Linked DNA regions of Drosophila melanogaster. The protein of the gene in region 1 purifies or fractionates together with the protein of each later gene. This does not show direct contact. Each region holds a gene or a part of one and is shown on either strand. Other genes may lie near its edges.

Region 1 (9,012 bases):
AAAACGTTGCTGTGGGCGGAATATTTTATCGGCGTAGATCAGCAGCGCCGTTTGGGTTAATTTTATCATAAGAATGGATTATCATATTGTTTAAGGGAACTATCACTTCGACTACTACTATGGACAACAAATAAACACAACAAGGGTTATAAAATCTATCGCATAAATATATAATTGGCTAGTTGATGGAAGAATGGAATCCGTTTGGTGTTTGCTAGCTGGCCCTACGTTGTACATCCTGCGCTATCTCTACGTGTTTCCGAGGACGCCAAAGCTCCAGCAAGCGCATTAAGAAGTGGGCCACAACGAAGAACACCAGAAACCAGGATCCGTGCTGCCACACCGCAAACACCAGCTCGCTAGTGGTGAAAGAGCGTTCATTTAAAACGCGATCGTACACCTTTACTGTGCGAAGGGCAACATCCTCCCAATTGTAAAGCGTTTCCACCAACTCATTACATCTATATGGACACATTACGGGCTCTGTAGAGCTGTTCTGATCCGCAGGAGGAGCAGAGACTGCTGGCAGTTGTGTAGGAGAGATAGGAGTATCGACTTTCCTGCGACGTCGCCGCTTAACCTTTCCATTAGCGTCCGAGGCCAAATGCCCATTGCCAACTGATGGACTAACCTTAAAGGAACTCTTTCGATGACGGTCGATGGCAATTAGAATCGCTGCGTAAATGGCATCAATTTCGGGCTCTGCCAGCAGTATAAGACTCTTGGGTAGCACTTCGGGAATTCCGCCCACACTGGTGGACACCACCTGCAGTCCACAGGAAGCCGCCTCAACGATGGCCATGCAGTAGGCCTCAGTCAGTGAGGTATTCAAAAAGATGTGGCCACGCACCAGGAAATCGCGAACCCTGTTATGCTCCACGGCGCCCACCATTTGAACCCTTTCCTGCATATTGGTCTTTTCGCGAATCTCCTCCAGCAGATCACGCTTAGGTCCATCGCCCACAATGATAAAGTTTATGTTGGGAGTGTTTTTGAACCGTGGAATGATGCCAGCTAGCAAATCAATGCCTTTGCGGTAGACAAGACGGGAGGCCACTACAATGTTGACTGAAAAGTAGGGATAAGTTAATTAAAAATACTACAAAACGACGAAGTCCCCATACTTATATCATTGCTCGGACGCTGTTGAGGATCGGGAGTAAACAGGGCAGTGTCGACTGCATTGGGAATGACGGAAACTCGATGTTTAGCTACTCGAGCGCGTAGAACAGTGTTCTCCTTCCCTATGTGAGATACACAGATGGCGTGATTGACCATGCCCAAGTTGACCTCCAGCAGATTGTTGGTTAGAGCGGCTGACAAGTCCGCAAAGCCAAAGAGGCTGTGATCGGTAAAGACAGTCTGCCAAACAAAAAGATGATTCATTAGCGATTTAAACTATACGTTTCGTATTGAAGATTATGCCTACCTTTAGCCCCAGGAGGGAGCCCACCATCAGTGCCTCGTGCGCCAGAGCACTGAAGGCAGAGTGGCCATGGACCACTTCCACCCGCTCACGAAGTAGCACCGCTCGCAACATCGGCACATTGCAAACAGCGGTGGGCAGTATGCACTGGTTGTAGCACACCTTAATGGGCAGATAGTAGACCTTCAGGTAGCCAGTCACATAGCGAATGCCACTGCAGTCTCCGTAGGCGTGGGTCAGCACGACGATCTAATGGGCAAAGATAGTCAGTTCAAATAATCGTTATCATTCGTGGTCCGCCCAATTGACAATAGTCACCTTGTGACCCAAGCTGAGCAACATTTGCGAAAGGTTGTAGACGTGCTCCTCGACCCCTCCGATGCTCGGATAGAAGAAGTCCGACACCATGCAGATGCGCATTTTTCACTCTTTGGGTTCTGCGGCTTCCAGTAATTTGACATACCACATATAAACAAATAAATACAATATGTTAAACAAAAATCGGCAAGCAAAAAACAACAGTGTGCACAATGGCCAAAGAGTGGTCGATGTAGTAGTGTTGAAAGGTGAAGAAAATGCTAATCGGTACTGGGGCCCAATTTCGATTTGAATATAACATTAAATTAATGTGCCACGAATATGTATAAAAGTGCTTAAAGCTTTTTCTTCTCAACAAGGCAAAAGTTTTTCCTAAAAATAGGTCTGTAGACAATGATGTACCTATTTTCTAGGTACTATAACTTTATATATTTTTTAACACTGCAAGTAGCTTTAGCAATGCTTGCGGATGCTGGTCACACTCGGCTGCAGACGTTTTTGTGTTTTGGCTGGTTTCTTCATGGCTAAATCATGCAGAATTCCAAGGCCAAAATGGACGAATTCAAGAGCAAATTCTTGGACATATTGCACAAACAGGTAGCAGATCATCGAACATTTAAATAATCCCCAAAACTAACCCCGTTGCTATGCATTCCGCCCACCAAACAAAATACTGCTCACGCACACAAAGACGAACCGTCAAATGAAAATTCCTGCCATGGGTTTTTCGGATTATTTCATTCAAACGGTGACCACAGACGCCTCCGCCAGTCAAGAAACTGATGCCACAGACGCGGCAGCCACTTCTTCCAGCGAGTCAAATGCACAAAAGTCGGACCAGGAGATCCTGGAGAGCATCGAACAGTGCTACTACAACCCCGACAGCAATCCACAGCTGTACGAACTCAAGGTAAACCAGGTAGACCAGTAAGCTGTGGCTTTAATTACCCACCACGATCTTCCGTAGAAAGTTCTCAACGATGGCATAGACAACGAGCTCATCGAGGTCACCATTGCACAATTGCGCACTCAGCAGAAGGTTCTTACCAAACAGGTGCTCCAGAACATCCTGGAGCAGCGGAATGCCTGCAGCAGTGAGTTTGCCGCTATCAATGACACGCAGAAGAAGTTGGAGGAATCGCTGTGGACATGCCAAAAGGCGAGATCCTATTTAAACTTTGCTCGCACGAACCTAACAACCACTAGCCTGGAGATCTTGGCCAGCTACCGCAAACGAGAGGTGCTCAAGGAGGTGTTGGACACCCTGGTGGCCATCAAGAGACTGGTCAGAAATGAATTGATGATTCTGTGGGCAATTTGAATAACATACAATATCTTACAGCGCACTACTGACGTGGAGGTACAGAAGCTGCTAGCGGATCACAACTACAGCGCCGCCATAGCTCTGCTCCTGCAGTGCAAGAGCTCCGCCGAGGCCTACATGCAGTTCAACTGTGTACAATCGCTCTCTAAAAAGCTGCAGGAAACCATGCTGCTTATGGAATTTCAGCTGGATACTGTGCTTAATGAAATGGTGCTAGGTTTTGATGGGCGAAAATACGCCAAACTGCAGGAGGCCTACAAATTGGCAAACAAGTCACTGATGGCCATGGACCAGCTGCACATCAACTATATTTCGGCCATTCACTCTTCTGTGAATGCAGTGCTTCGCGGTTACAGCGATCCTGGCCAGGACGATCAGGCCAAGCCGCTCTATGAGCAGCTGTGCGAACAGCTTAGCGTGGATAAGCTGCTGCCCTGTCTGATTAGTTTGTGCAAAACCTTCTGGACCATTCTGGCCTCCTACTATCAGGTTGTTATGTGGCACAATAACTACAAGTTGTATGGACAGGAGGAGGAGGATTCACCAGATATTTACATTCAGCAGAAACTGAAGAAGGGACAGTCACGCGTTTGGAATGACATTCTGACCAAAGTGTGCTTGTTCCTGCAGTCGGCAAAGTTGACGGCTCTTAAATACGATCAGTTCATCCAAGTGCTGTCCGTGGTACAAAGACTTAAGAAGGTGGGTCTGGAGTTCTGCGGCGAGCAGTCGGAGAAGTTGATCGAGACGATGCAGCAGCAGAGCGAGGAGTTCTTCCGGCGTTACCATATCTGCTGCATTGAGGAAATCTGTTTATTCTTGGATAACGAGTCCTGGACGCAAGTCGACTCATTTGCGCATATCCTGCAATTGCCTGTAAGTAATTTTAAATTGGCCATTAAAGCGACTGGTTAAGTTATCTACATGTAATTCTCTGTAGGAATTCCGATCGGTTCGGCACACTCTTCGGCGCCACAAGTCTCCGACAACTGCTTTGCTGGCCTCATCCAACAACTCCCCGATCAGCAATAATAACTGCGATGAGCTGGTTTCCGTGCACTCCCAGGATGGTGGCAGCTCCATTTACGGTTCCTACGGATATTTTCTCAGATTCTCCGAAAAAAGTTCGCCATTTGATGGTGGCTTGGATGCAGCAATGTTGGAGGAGGACATCTTATCCGGCATTGTGGACGAGGCCTCCTGTTATTTCAGCGAGGAGAGCGATGACGAGCAGAAAAGCTTGCAAAGCAAGGAGTTCGATGACGCCAGCAAGTAATATTATCTTGGTTATTATACCGCGAAATCATAATAAATGTAAATTTATTTTAGCCAGCTGCTGGTAAACAACACTGCGCTAAATGTGATGCGCGTCATTGGAAGATATCTGCAGATGTGCAAGTTATTGCACTGCATCTCTCCCAAGATTGTGGCTTGCATCCTGGAGCTCATTGACTTTTATGTCTACGCAGTGCACGAAATCTTCGGAAAAGATGCGGTAAATATTTTTATAACAATCACTTTTGAAGATATATTAATTGTTGATATTTGCAGCCGGTAGCAACGGATAATATGCACTCTCCTAGACTGGAGCAACGTTTACGCTCGGTCGAGGTTAACGTTCTGCCACAAATCAAGCTATGGCCCCTTAATTTCTCCTCTCTGGTAATATTATATGTTATTTTCCTAGAGCTTTAATTAATTAAATCATCCTTTTGCAGGCAAATAATGAGCTAGCTAATCCGGATACCTTATACGGACTGTCACAACGCATCGTGGCCGTGGAAGCGGGTCGCAGCATGCTTCAGCAGTTCAACGTCCTTCAGCACTATCTGAACCACTTGCTGCCCCTTGCAGAGCGTCCAATCCTGGCCAGTTACCTGGACTATAGCGATTATATTGCGGACTTGGCTAAACTCGTTTACACATGCGTCACGTCGCGCGTCATCGATTTGTCATCCATTCTGGCTCAGATGGCCAAGGTCAAATGGGATGTTAATCATGTGATACACCAGCACAGCAACTACAGTGATGTTCTAAATAGGGTGGGAAATGCTAAATAATGCTTAATACACTACACAAACTAACCACATTTATATGCAGAACATACAAAGCTTCGCCATGTGTCTGGAGGAAATTGCCAAGGAGGTTCCAGTGCCCAGCAAGCAAGTGTGGAATTCAATGGCCCATGTGGCCACGCATCTGCTGGTGGAGGGGTACGTTCTTATTTTCTATTTCTCAGAAGGATCTGATTTTACATAGTTATTGTTTATTATGTTATAGGTTCTCCAATGTGAAGAAATGCTCTGCCGGAGGACGAGCGCTTATGCAACTGGATTTTGCGAACTTTATGTCGTTCCTAGAGCTCATATCGAACCAAAAGTACCCACAGCATCGCTCCTATGTGGATGTGTTCATCAAGACCTACTATTTTGCGCCCGAACAGTTCGAGCAATGGATTGAACAGCAGCGTACGGGCGATGAATACTCTCTCAAGCAATTGAACAACCTTATTCATTGTATTTGTGTCAGCGATAAACGCACGCGACAAAGGTTGCTACAGTTGCTTGACGCTGGAATACAAAATGGAATAGCAATGTCAACGACGCCGACAACAACACCGCAGAAGAACAACCACGGATCCGTAGCCGGCTCAAATTTAAGCAGCGTTATCTGAGCTCCCCCGAACGATTATTTAATTGTATTTATTTTGTTATAACCCCAAACTAACTTTGTTAGTAGATCAATCTCATGACATTCTTTACGTGTAATTAACATTCCGTTTAGTTCAAATTAACATTGTGTTTAAGGCTAATGATTCTACCTTAGTTATACAGGCGATCTCCATGAAGTACTTCGTTTCAAATTTAGAATCTCCCAAACCCTCCTTAAGTGCAATCTATCCTATAATCTTTCTAATTGATAATTGGCAATTGGTTTACCATTCACCATGACTTAAGTACCTAGAGAAAACAGACATATATATATATATATGTACACACAAAACACGTATAATTAAGATACCTATTTATTTGTAATATTTATTTGCAGCAGGAAACAGACAAATAATTGTAAAACAACTTAAATGTAAGGGGCAGCGTATCGATTTGATTTGCGCGCCTCCCACGATCACACACCATTAACTATTTAGCAACTGTAACAAAATAACAAAGAATACATATTTTGAGATATGCATATTACAAACAATGCGAATTGTGTCTTATCATCGAGGGCGTGAAAAGCTTGACAAGGCATTTCCCTTCAACTTGGAGCAGTTCCCGCACAATATAAATAAAGCAGCTAAGTCTGATGGGCAACATAATTGAAAGGACATGTGGACAGTGATAACAGGAATAGTTTTATGGGCACCCGTCCTGGTTGCGGGATCCGCTGTGGACTTCATCTTTAGAGCAGCAGCGGAGCACTCGCTCTCAGTAATAATGATTCGTATTGATTATTGTCCGTACAACTGGGCAAAGGATATCTTTGAGAATCAAACCATTCCAGTGGTTGTCCTTTCAGATAGCGAGACTTTTATAAACATTCGGATGTTTTCTCGGCCGCTACACGTAGCTTGCCTGCCTGGACATGAGCTGCAAAAGGACCTGGCGTTACTCGAAAACTTTACGAGTTCGCTAATGGATTTTCCGAGTCAGAAGAAGATTGTCTATATATCAAACAATTTCTCTGATCCAACTAGAATGGACTATATTTTCGAAACGTGCTATCATCGCCGAATTTGGAACATTGTTGGACTTTTAGCTTCAGATGAACATCGTTACTTTTATAGATATCACCTATATCCTAGCTTCCGAACGGAGTATCGCTCTCTTGAATCTTCAACCATATTCGACAAGGATTTTCCCAACATGCACGGTCACCCTCTTACTGTTATGCCCGACCAATGGCTTCCGCGTTCCGTTCTCTACGTGGACAGACGAACGGGTAAGCAAATCCTAGCCGGATCTGTGGGACGCTTCTTTCACGTGCTGTCGTGGAAGCTGAACGCCACGCTGCAGCTGTCCAAGAAGGTGACCACCGGGCGCTTTCTAAATGCCACTGCCCTCAAGGAGCTGAGCGAGAGCTTTTCAGTTGATGTTCCTGCCAGTCTGACGATAATGGAGCGAGTCGAGCAGTTGGCCAGCACAAGCTATCCGATGGAGGTGACCCACGTCTGCCTTATGGTACCGGTGGCCAGAAGAATTCCAATTAAGGATATTTACTTTATCCTGAGCAGTGCTTCCAATATGTTCCTGGCTATTGTTATTGTTTCCAGTTATGGATTGGCTTTGAATCTCCTTCGAAACATGACCCATCGCGATGTGCGTCTGGTGGACTTTGTGCTAAATGATAAAGCTTTACGCGGAATCTTGGGCCAATCCTTCAATTTGCCCTTGTCGAGAAGCTTCTCCACCAGGTTGATATTTCTGATGCTTGGAATAGTGGGTCTTAATGTGAGCAGCATTTTTGGAGCGGGACTGGACACATTAATGGCTCATCCACCACGGCAATTTCAAGCACGAAGTTTCGCTGGTCTGCGTCGCACGAAAATACCATTGGTTACGACCGAGGAAGACTTTCCCACATGGATGAAACTGCGTGTGCCCATGCTGGTGGTCAATGTGAGTGAGTACAATCACTTGAGGAATGGAAGGAACACAAGCAATGCCTACTTCGCCTCCCGACTGTATTGGAATTTGTTCAGTGAGCAGCAGAAGCGCTTCACCCGAGAGCTGTTTATCTACTCCACGGATGACTGCCTGTGGTCCCTGGCGCTGCTCTCTTTCCAATGGCCGCAGAATTCCTTGTTCACAGAGCCCGTCAGCCAACTTATTTTGGAGGTAAATGCCAATGGACTCTATGACTTCTGGGTGGGAATGCACTACTACGACATGACAGCAGCTGGATTGTCCGGTCTGGAGGATCCCAGCCTGCAGTTGAAGGAAAGAGAGCACCCTACCTCGCTAAGGATTGTGGATTTTCAGTGGATGTGGCAGGCGTACGGAACATTTATGGTAATTGCGATTCTGGTATTCTTGCTCGAAGTTTCTTGGCACAGAATCACATCATTATTTGTGTCACTAGTTTATTGATCATTCACATGTTTATTGGAAAACGTGGCCAACTCTGCAACATATCAAGTTTCAAATTTAAATTTTAAAATCACTAACACTTAACAAATTAAAAATTGTGAATTAAAGAAACTAATCATCATCGAGGATTTCGATGGGAGACTTAGATTCGTTTGGATCATCAGAAATGTCCGTGTCGCTTGCAGGATTCTTAAGTTCCTCTATCTCATCTTTGAGGTCTTCTATTTGTTCTTCATACCTTCGGCGTTGAGAGGAAAGCTGTTAAATATATAGTTTATATTATATACTATTATATTATATTGTTATATTTACTAACCATAAATTCTGATTCTCTTTGCGCAATTAGTAATTTTTTCTCGCATTCGTCTTCATATTGCTTCTTGTTGTTTTGGATAATCTCCTGGTAGGTGGCAGTCAGTTCCCTTCGCAGTTTCTCCTCAAGCAGCTGCATTTGCAGCACATGATCGTACTTCAGTTGCTCAATCTCTAACTGCAGGCGCACGTTTTCGTCCTCAAGTTCCTTGGTGTAGTCGCCGCCCTCGCACGTCGACATCTTTGAGAATTCCATGAAACCACAGTAGCTGACGCGATGCTGTTTAATTACGGGCTCCTTGAAGATGATGTTCTTGGCGATGGAAGCAAAGTTCAAGACGTTCAGGTTCTCCTCGTAGTATTTATCCAGAGGGGTAACTGTCACGATCATGGCCAATTTCTCCTTGCCCAGCAAAGCAGCCTGCAACAGCATTGTTAGCTTGGAGTCGCGATATGGAATGATGTCGGCGTTTTTCTTTTTCTGAACTGTACTGGCCGCATCTAAACATCGACCCAGCACCATCAGCGACGTATTTATGTTC
Region 2 (6,054 bases), on another chromosome or scaffold:
CACTGTACTCCTTGAAGGCTGGGTGCGTTTCACGCTCCGAACCGGCAAACGACTCCAGTTCGATGGCATAGTCCACCAGTTGGCGGATCTTGGGCACTAGGCTGGCATCGTACTTGGCAATCAGGTGCATGGGCATCGTGATCAGGCACACGGAGTTGCAGTTCCGCACACTGGCCATCAGCAGTGTGAGAAACTTGATCAGATCCTCGCCGAAGTGTTCGTCGTACCACAGCGGCGATCCCAACGAGGTCAGGCAGACGCGGCACAGGTTATTCTTGGTCCCAGCGACGAAGCTCTCGTTACGCAGCAGCTGTTGAATATCGTTGAGCAGTCCTTTGTACCGAGGGTTGTGGAACACCTGCAACGGCGAATCCTGGCTGCCTGTTTTTGTGCTACTGGTCACGCTGCTGCTATTGTTATTGTTGTTATTATTGTTGTTGGCAGAGTTCTCCTCCTCCTGGGCTGGCATCTTCTCCTGCGGAGCGGTCTCCGTGCCCGGAATCGGTGGGGCATCCTCCACGGGCTGCTGCTCCAGCGACGGAGTGGTTGGGGAGCTGCTCTTGGAGAACTCCTCGTCAATGACGATGTCCAGATGCTTGGGGCTATCGTCCCACAAGGTAGTCTTGACATTGTAGAGCATCATGGAGTCCATCTGTTCCATCAGATTGAAATGGTGTCCGATTTTTGCTGTGGCATGTTCCGAATTCACCAGCGGCAGATCATTGTATCGCCAGGCGATCCTTAGGCCATTTTCGGCGCCAGCATCTCCCAGCGCTTGCACCTCGCTTTGCTCCATCGATTCCTGGTCGGTCAGCGGTCTGGGCAGACGGCGCAGCATCTCGGCTGGAATGTCGTCCAGGCTGCCCAGAAATATCTCCTGCTTGGAAATCACACCCTCGGCCAGAAAGTACTTGGCCAGCACCTTGGCGTGCGTCATGAAGCGATCCTCCTCGATCAGGCAGATCGAACCCATGGGCAGACCGCCGCCAATGACCACGTCCAAGTACGGATTTCCGCTGGAGGTGATCACCTGCGCCGTGTGCGGTGAGGTGCGGGTGCCGCGGATTGGCTTCTGCACGGTGCGCTTGCGGAAACTGGTCATCTTCGTCGCACAGATTTCGCTAACCTTTATTTTTTGCGTTCTTTTTTGCTATGTGTTTCCTTCTCTTCGCGTAAACTTCTATTTCGATACTTTCGATATTATCTATTCTCGATGGCTGCCAATGGGGGCACACTCTCCAATTGTGTATCGATAGTCAAAACAGCTGTTAATTCGCAAGTTCTGGGTAGGGCGATAGTTTAGCTTTTATTGCTTAAAAATAAATTTGTGTTCATGTTGTATAATTGGTAGAATATAAGAGGCACAAGTCAAGTGTTGTACTAGAAAAGAAACTCATTGATTGCTTGTGTACAAATAAATGAATAATTGAAAAAAATTGGTCTTAAATTCAATTTCAATTTTCACCCAAAAATTAATTTTAATTAAAATTGTATTAGTTAAGTAATTTTTTATATGAACCAAGAAATCTTTTTTTTTTTTGAAAACATAGTTTAGTTCTCATCACCAATATTAGGGTCTTTCCAAAAGCACATCTTACTCCGATAACAAAAACAGCTGTTTTGATGACATACTTTATTTTTGTTGGTAGTTGAGAAAAACAATTGGGAAAAATACCTTTAAATTGGAAAACAAAAATGGCCGAGGTGCCGTCCCCGCAAATGACGGAACAACTGGACAACGAGGAGGTGCGGGAGATCCTAAAGAACACCACGGATCTGCGGCAATATTCACGACAGATTGAAAAGGAGTTTAAGGAGGTGGAGAATAAGTCCATAGAGGGTAAGCACCATGTTCCATATGCAAACTTAGCTCTAATGATATCCCTTTGAATACCAGACTATATAGCGGAGTCGCAGAATATAGCCAACCTGCACAATCAGATAAACGATTGCGACGATGTCCTGGAGCGCATGGAAAATATGCTGATGAGCTTCCAGAGCGTTTTGAACAACATAAGCACTGAGATCACGCAGCTGCAAAGAAAATCCGTATCCATGTCCCTCCAACTGACCAATCGTCAGTCGGTCAAGGCTCAATTGTCCCAGTTTATCGAGGACATGGCCGTGTCCGAGGAGATGATCAACATAATAATGGAAACCCCGGTTACGGAGCGGGATTTCAGCACCCAGTTGAATGTACTGAATCACAAACTTTCGCTGGTCAAGGAGCTCAGCTTCAAAGAGTCAAAGTCCACCAGCGATGTGAGCGATGTGCTGCAGAAGCTTCGACTGAAAGCCATGGCCAAGATTCGCTCCTATCTGCTGGAGCAGATTTACAAGTTCCGGAAGCCCATGACAAACTACCAGATTCCACAGAACGCCATGCTGAAGCACAAATTCTTCTTCGAGTTCATCCTGTCCAACGAGCGGCATGTGGCGCAGGAAATATGCAGTGAATACATCGATACGATGGGCAAAATTTACTATAGCTATTTTAAGGTTGGTTTTTTTTTCAAAGTTGTGGAAGCATGAATTTTCTTAAATTCATAACTTTCTTGCAGAGTTATTCCACACGCTTGACGAGCCTCAAATTCGAGGAGTCCTGCACAAAGGACGATCTGATGGGCATCGAAGATAATGCATCCAAAGGTTTATTCTCCAAGACGACGAGTCTAAAGCACAAGAGCACCATTTTCACAATAGGAAAGCGAGGCGATATACTTAACCAGCAGCTGGAGGCACCAATTATAGTGCCACATGCGCAGCTAAAGAATCGAGTAAGAGATGTGATACATACACTTGCAAAGGAGATACATCTCAAATTTTAAACAGTACACAGCGGAAGCTCTCTTTCGGTCGGAGCAATACGCCCTAGTGGACAATGCCTGTCGGGAATACCTATTTGTCACGGAGTTCTTTATGGTTCGCGGCACTCAAGCGCAAGATTTGTTCAACCAAATCATGGGCAAAACCCTAACTCTAATGATTGTAAGTCAATGGTTTTTACTTGCGAAATATTAATCATATCTGTTTTTTGAACCTAGAAAAATCTGGAGACCTCCATACACGACTGTTTTGATACCATTGCCATGTTCCTGTGCATCCATCTCATTTTCCGCTATCAGCTAATGTGCCACAAGCGCTGTGTTCCCGCATTGGATAAGTGAGTCTATTCATGGGCGTTGATGATTTTGGTTCACAATTGGATATTTATATGTTTTGATTTCAGATACTGGGACTCCCTGCAGGCGGTAATATGGCCACGTTTCGAACTAGTATTCCGCTTGAATATCCAGAGCATACATGACTGTGATCCAACCAAGTTCAACAAGGAATTGGGACCGCACTACGTAAGTATACGATTTAAAGTTAGTACGGGTTACAAATTATCTTAAATCGATGTTGATAGCATTCTAAAAGTCAAGAGAGGGCCAATAGAGATAACTTTTAACCATTTCTTTTGAACAAAACGCCTTGTCATAATATAATACGTATACTTTACAGATAACACGACGCTACGCAGAGTTCAGTGCGGCCATTGTGGGAATCTCGGAGCATTTTCCTAATGAATTGGTTAGCCGACTGCTTCTGGAACTGCAAAATGAAGTGGAGTGCTTTATCCTTCGCATGGCCGCAATATTTCCAACGCGAAAGGATCAGCTAATCTACCTGATAAACAACTACGATTTGGTTTTGGGCGTGTTGATGGAGCACACGCGAGATAACTCCAAAGAAGCGGAGGCATTCAGAGAGCAGCTCAACTCCCGCAGTGCGGAATATGTCGAGGAGATCCTGGCCCCTCATTTCGGAGGCATTATTCAGTTCGTCAAGGAGTGCGAGCACTTCTTCGAGAAGGAACAAATGGATGAGCTGCGCAAACAGGAGCGAAGAAGTCTGGCCTTGGTCGCCAGCTTCTCGGCCAATTGGAAGAAATCTCTGGAGGAGCTAAACAGGGAGGTGCTTCTCTCATTTCCCTCATTGCTGACGGGCTCACAGCTTCTGCAGCTTGCGTTGGCCAGTTTGGTGCAATACTATCACCGATTCCACAAGCTCCTCACGCCCAATGCCCGCGCCCAGCTGACCAATATCCACGTCGTGATGGTGGAGATCAAGAAGTACAAGAGCAATTACTGAGGGACGCTTTAATTGAATCTGTGTGTGTGTCTTCTGTGTATTCCAAATTGAGTAAAGTTCCAAAATAAATGTATGTAAGGTATACGACTTAATCCTCATCCTCGAACATCATCTCGACGAGATCCTGATTGGAGCAGCGCTCGCCATCCAGACGCTGTGGCCGCTTCCAGCGCAACAGAGTGGGCAAGAAGATCAGATGCGTGTTGGGATCCTTGCGGAAGGGGCAGTTCAAATCCTTCCAGCTGCAGTGAAAAACAAGTGTTAATTTATTGCTTACCACGGTTCAGTGATAACAGGCGGCATGAATACAACTCAAGAGCATTGTAAAGCTATCGTTGTTTAATGGTTTTTTTTATCATGAATGTTCTCGGCGTGTGAAAAAGTACTCGAGTGCTTATTTCATCATCGTACAGTTGGGGTTGAGTGACTAGTTTCACATTGCCAAAATGTTTTGAACTTGATAATCGAATGACAAAGGGTTTTGGCAACTGAATGACGTGGGATATATGCATATATGTACGTCATTCTAAATGACTAAGCCTGTGTTTTGAAACTATTTGGCTATTTCGAACCAAAGAAACCAGCAGATGTTCGCAGTCTCGCAGTGCATGAAATATTAATTCCTGCTTATCTAACTAATCGCAGCTGTTTTCTTCAGTTTGGCGGTATTAACTTACTATGCCCGCTCGCCCACATCCACATGCACGAAGTGCGAGTTGCCCGGGGCCTTCTTCAGCGCATCGTGTATCACCGGCTCCGCTGCAAACGTGAGAAATGAGTTTGGGAATCGGATAGGTTGCGGTTAGCCGCATTGGGATCACGGCATGCTCACCCTTGACGCAGTAGGGGCACCAGCTCTCTCCTTTCTCGTCCTTGCCGCCACTGAAGAGGACGTGGACCGGCTCGTCGCCGTTCTCCAGTTCCTCCATCTTTTTGGTGAACTCATCGTATCCCTTGACGTTGTGTGTGACCACCATGATCTTGCTGGGATTAGTATTCACCGCGCAGTAGCGTCTGAGTATGCGACCGAAAAGCGTTGGAAGCGACGTGATGGCGAACTTTGGAGTAACTGGCTTCTGGAGGGGAATGGACTTCTCCTAATTTATCAGGTTTTCTGACTTTTTGACGTAAAAAAAGCTTACTATCACAGATGGCAGGGTTACCAGCTTTCGAGCGCACTGATACATGGCCATTTTCAAGCCAATGAAAATAATAGATTTTTAGCTACGAGCTTAGATTTTGAAACGTATGAAAGGGAAATAAATAAGAACAGATACGTTGACTTCGAAATTTATTTGTAATATATATGATTTATTTGTAATATTATCTGTGTACCCTAAACATATAAAATTTACTTTCAACAATTTCTTGTTTTTAGTAAATATCGAAATAATAAAAACGCCATTCTAGCTGGCTATAGCCATTTTAGCGGGAATAGCCCGATAACCCGCTAATTGGTGAAAATGTGCAACACTATTTGTATCGAAAAACTAAACAGCTGATTAGAATTCTTTTTTTCGTAAAGTACGTTTATTTGTTTTTTACCATTGATTTCGTCGTGAACGATGTCACGGCTAGCTTTATTGCGCAATTTGGTCACTCAGCGGCAAAATTTGTTGCCCACCAACTTTGCCAGGTTAAAATGTGCGGCGGCGATGCACTGGAGTCCACATTTGCGACAGGAAGCGTCGCGCGGTTTGTGCCTCAAACTTCTCATCAGGTTACATCTGAAATATTTACTATATTATTCATGCAGATGGTGGCGGATCCCTTCAACGATCGCAGGATAACACCCAGGTGTCGACGGATGTGCGCCCCATTGGCGAGAAGATCAAGGAGAACACTAAGACGGCCAGTTATACGGCGATTATAATCGCCGGATTAGGGGTGACCTGCGTGATGTTCTTTGCCATATTCCGA

The links. The genes of interacting proteins can lie anywhere in the genome.
Region 2: the proteins of Vps50 (region 1) and Vps52 purify together in Drosophila melanogaster (affinity purification with western blotting, with the first as the bait; one study listed by BioGRID). This does not show direct contact.

Annotation. Positions count from the first base shown.
Region 1 is NT_033778.4:17,737,704-17,746,715, forward strand, and holds Vps50 (vacuolar protein sorting 50), read left to right. Parts: upstream 1-2,197; 5' UTR 2,198-2,275; coding exon 2,276-2,341; intron 2,342-2,435; coding exon 2,436-2,654; intron 2,655-2,711; coding exon 2,712-3,029; intron 3,030-3,086; coding exon 3,087-3,944; intron 3,945-4,008; coding exon 4,009-4,340; intron 4,341-4,397; coding exon 4,398-4,563; intron 4,564-4,619; coding exon 4,620-4,730; intron 4,731-4,786; coding exon 4,787-5,110; intron 5,111-5,168; coding exon 5,169-5,281; intron 5,282-5,348; coding exon 5,349-5,742; 3' UTR 5,743-6,266; downstream 6,267-9,012. Other genes in the region: PIG-A (phosphatidylinositol glycan anchor biosynthesis class A), read right to left, coding at 215-1,068, 1,125-1,362, 1,430-1,675, 1,745-1,846; Ir54a (ionotropic receptor 54a), read left to right, coding at 6,398-8,158; sub (subito), read right to left, coding at 8,270-8,416, 8,475-9,012.
Region 2 is NT_033779.5:5,519,458-5,525,511, reverse strand, and holds Vps52 (vacuolar protein sorting 52), read left to right. Parts: upstream 1-1,613; 5' UTR 1,614-1,695; coding exon 1,696-1,840; intron 1,841-1,897; coding exon 1,898-2,499; intron 2,500-2,561; coding exon 2,562-2,777; intron 2,778-2,832; coding exon 2,833-2,988; intron 2,989-3,044; coding exon 3,045-3,163; intron 3,164-3,229; coding exon 3,230-3,350; intron 3,351-3,504; coding exon 3,505-4,134; 3' UTR 4,135-4,222; downstream 4,223-6,054. Other genes in the region: Elp4 (elongator complex protein 4), read right to left, coding at 1-1,102; cl (clot), read right to left, coding at 4,223-4,376, 4,812-4,893, 4,967-5,111; CG7382 (uncharacterized protein), read left to right, coding at 5,700-5,829, 5,891-6,054.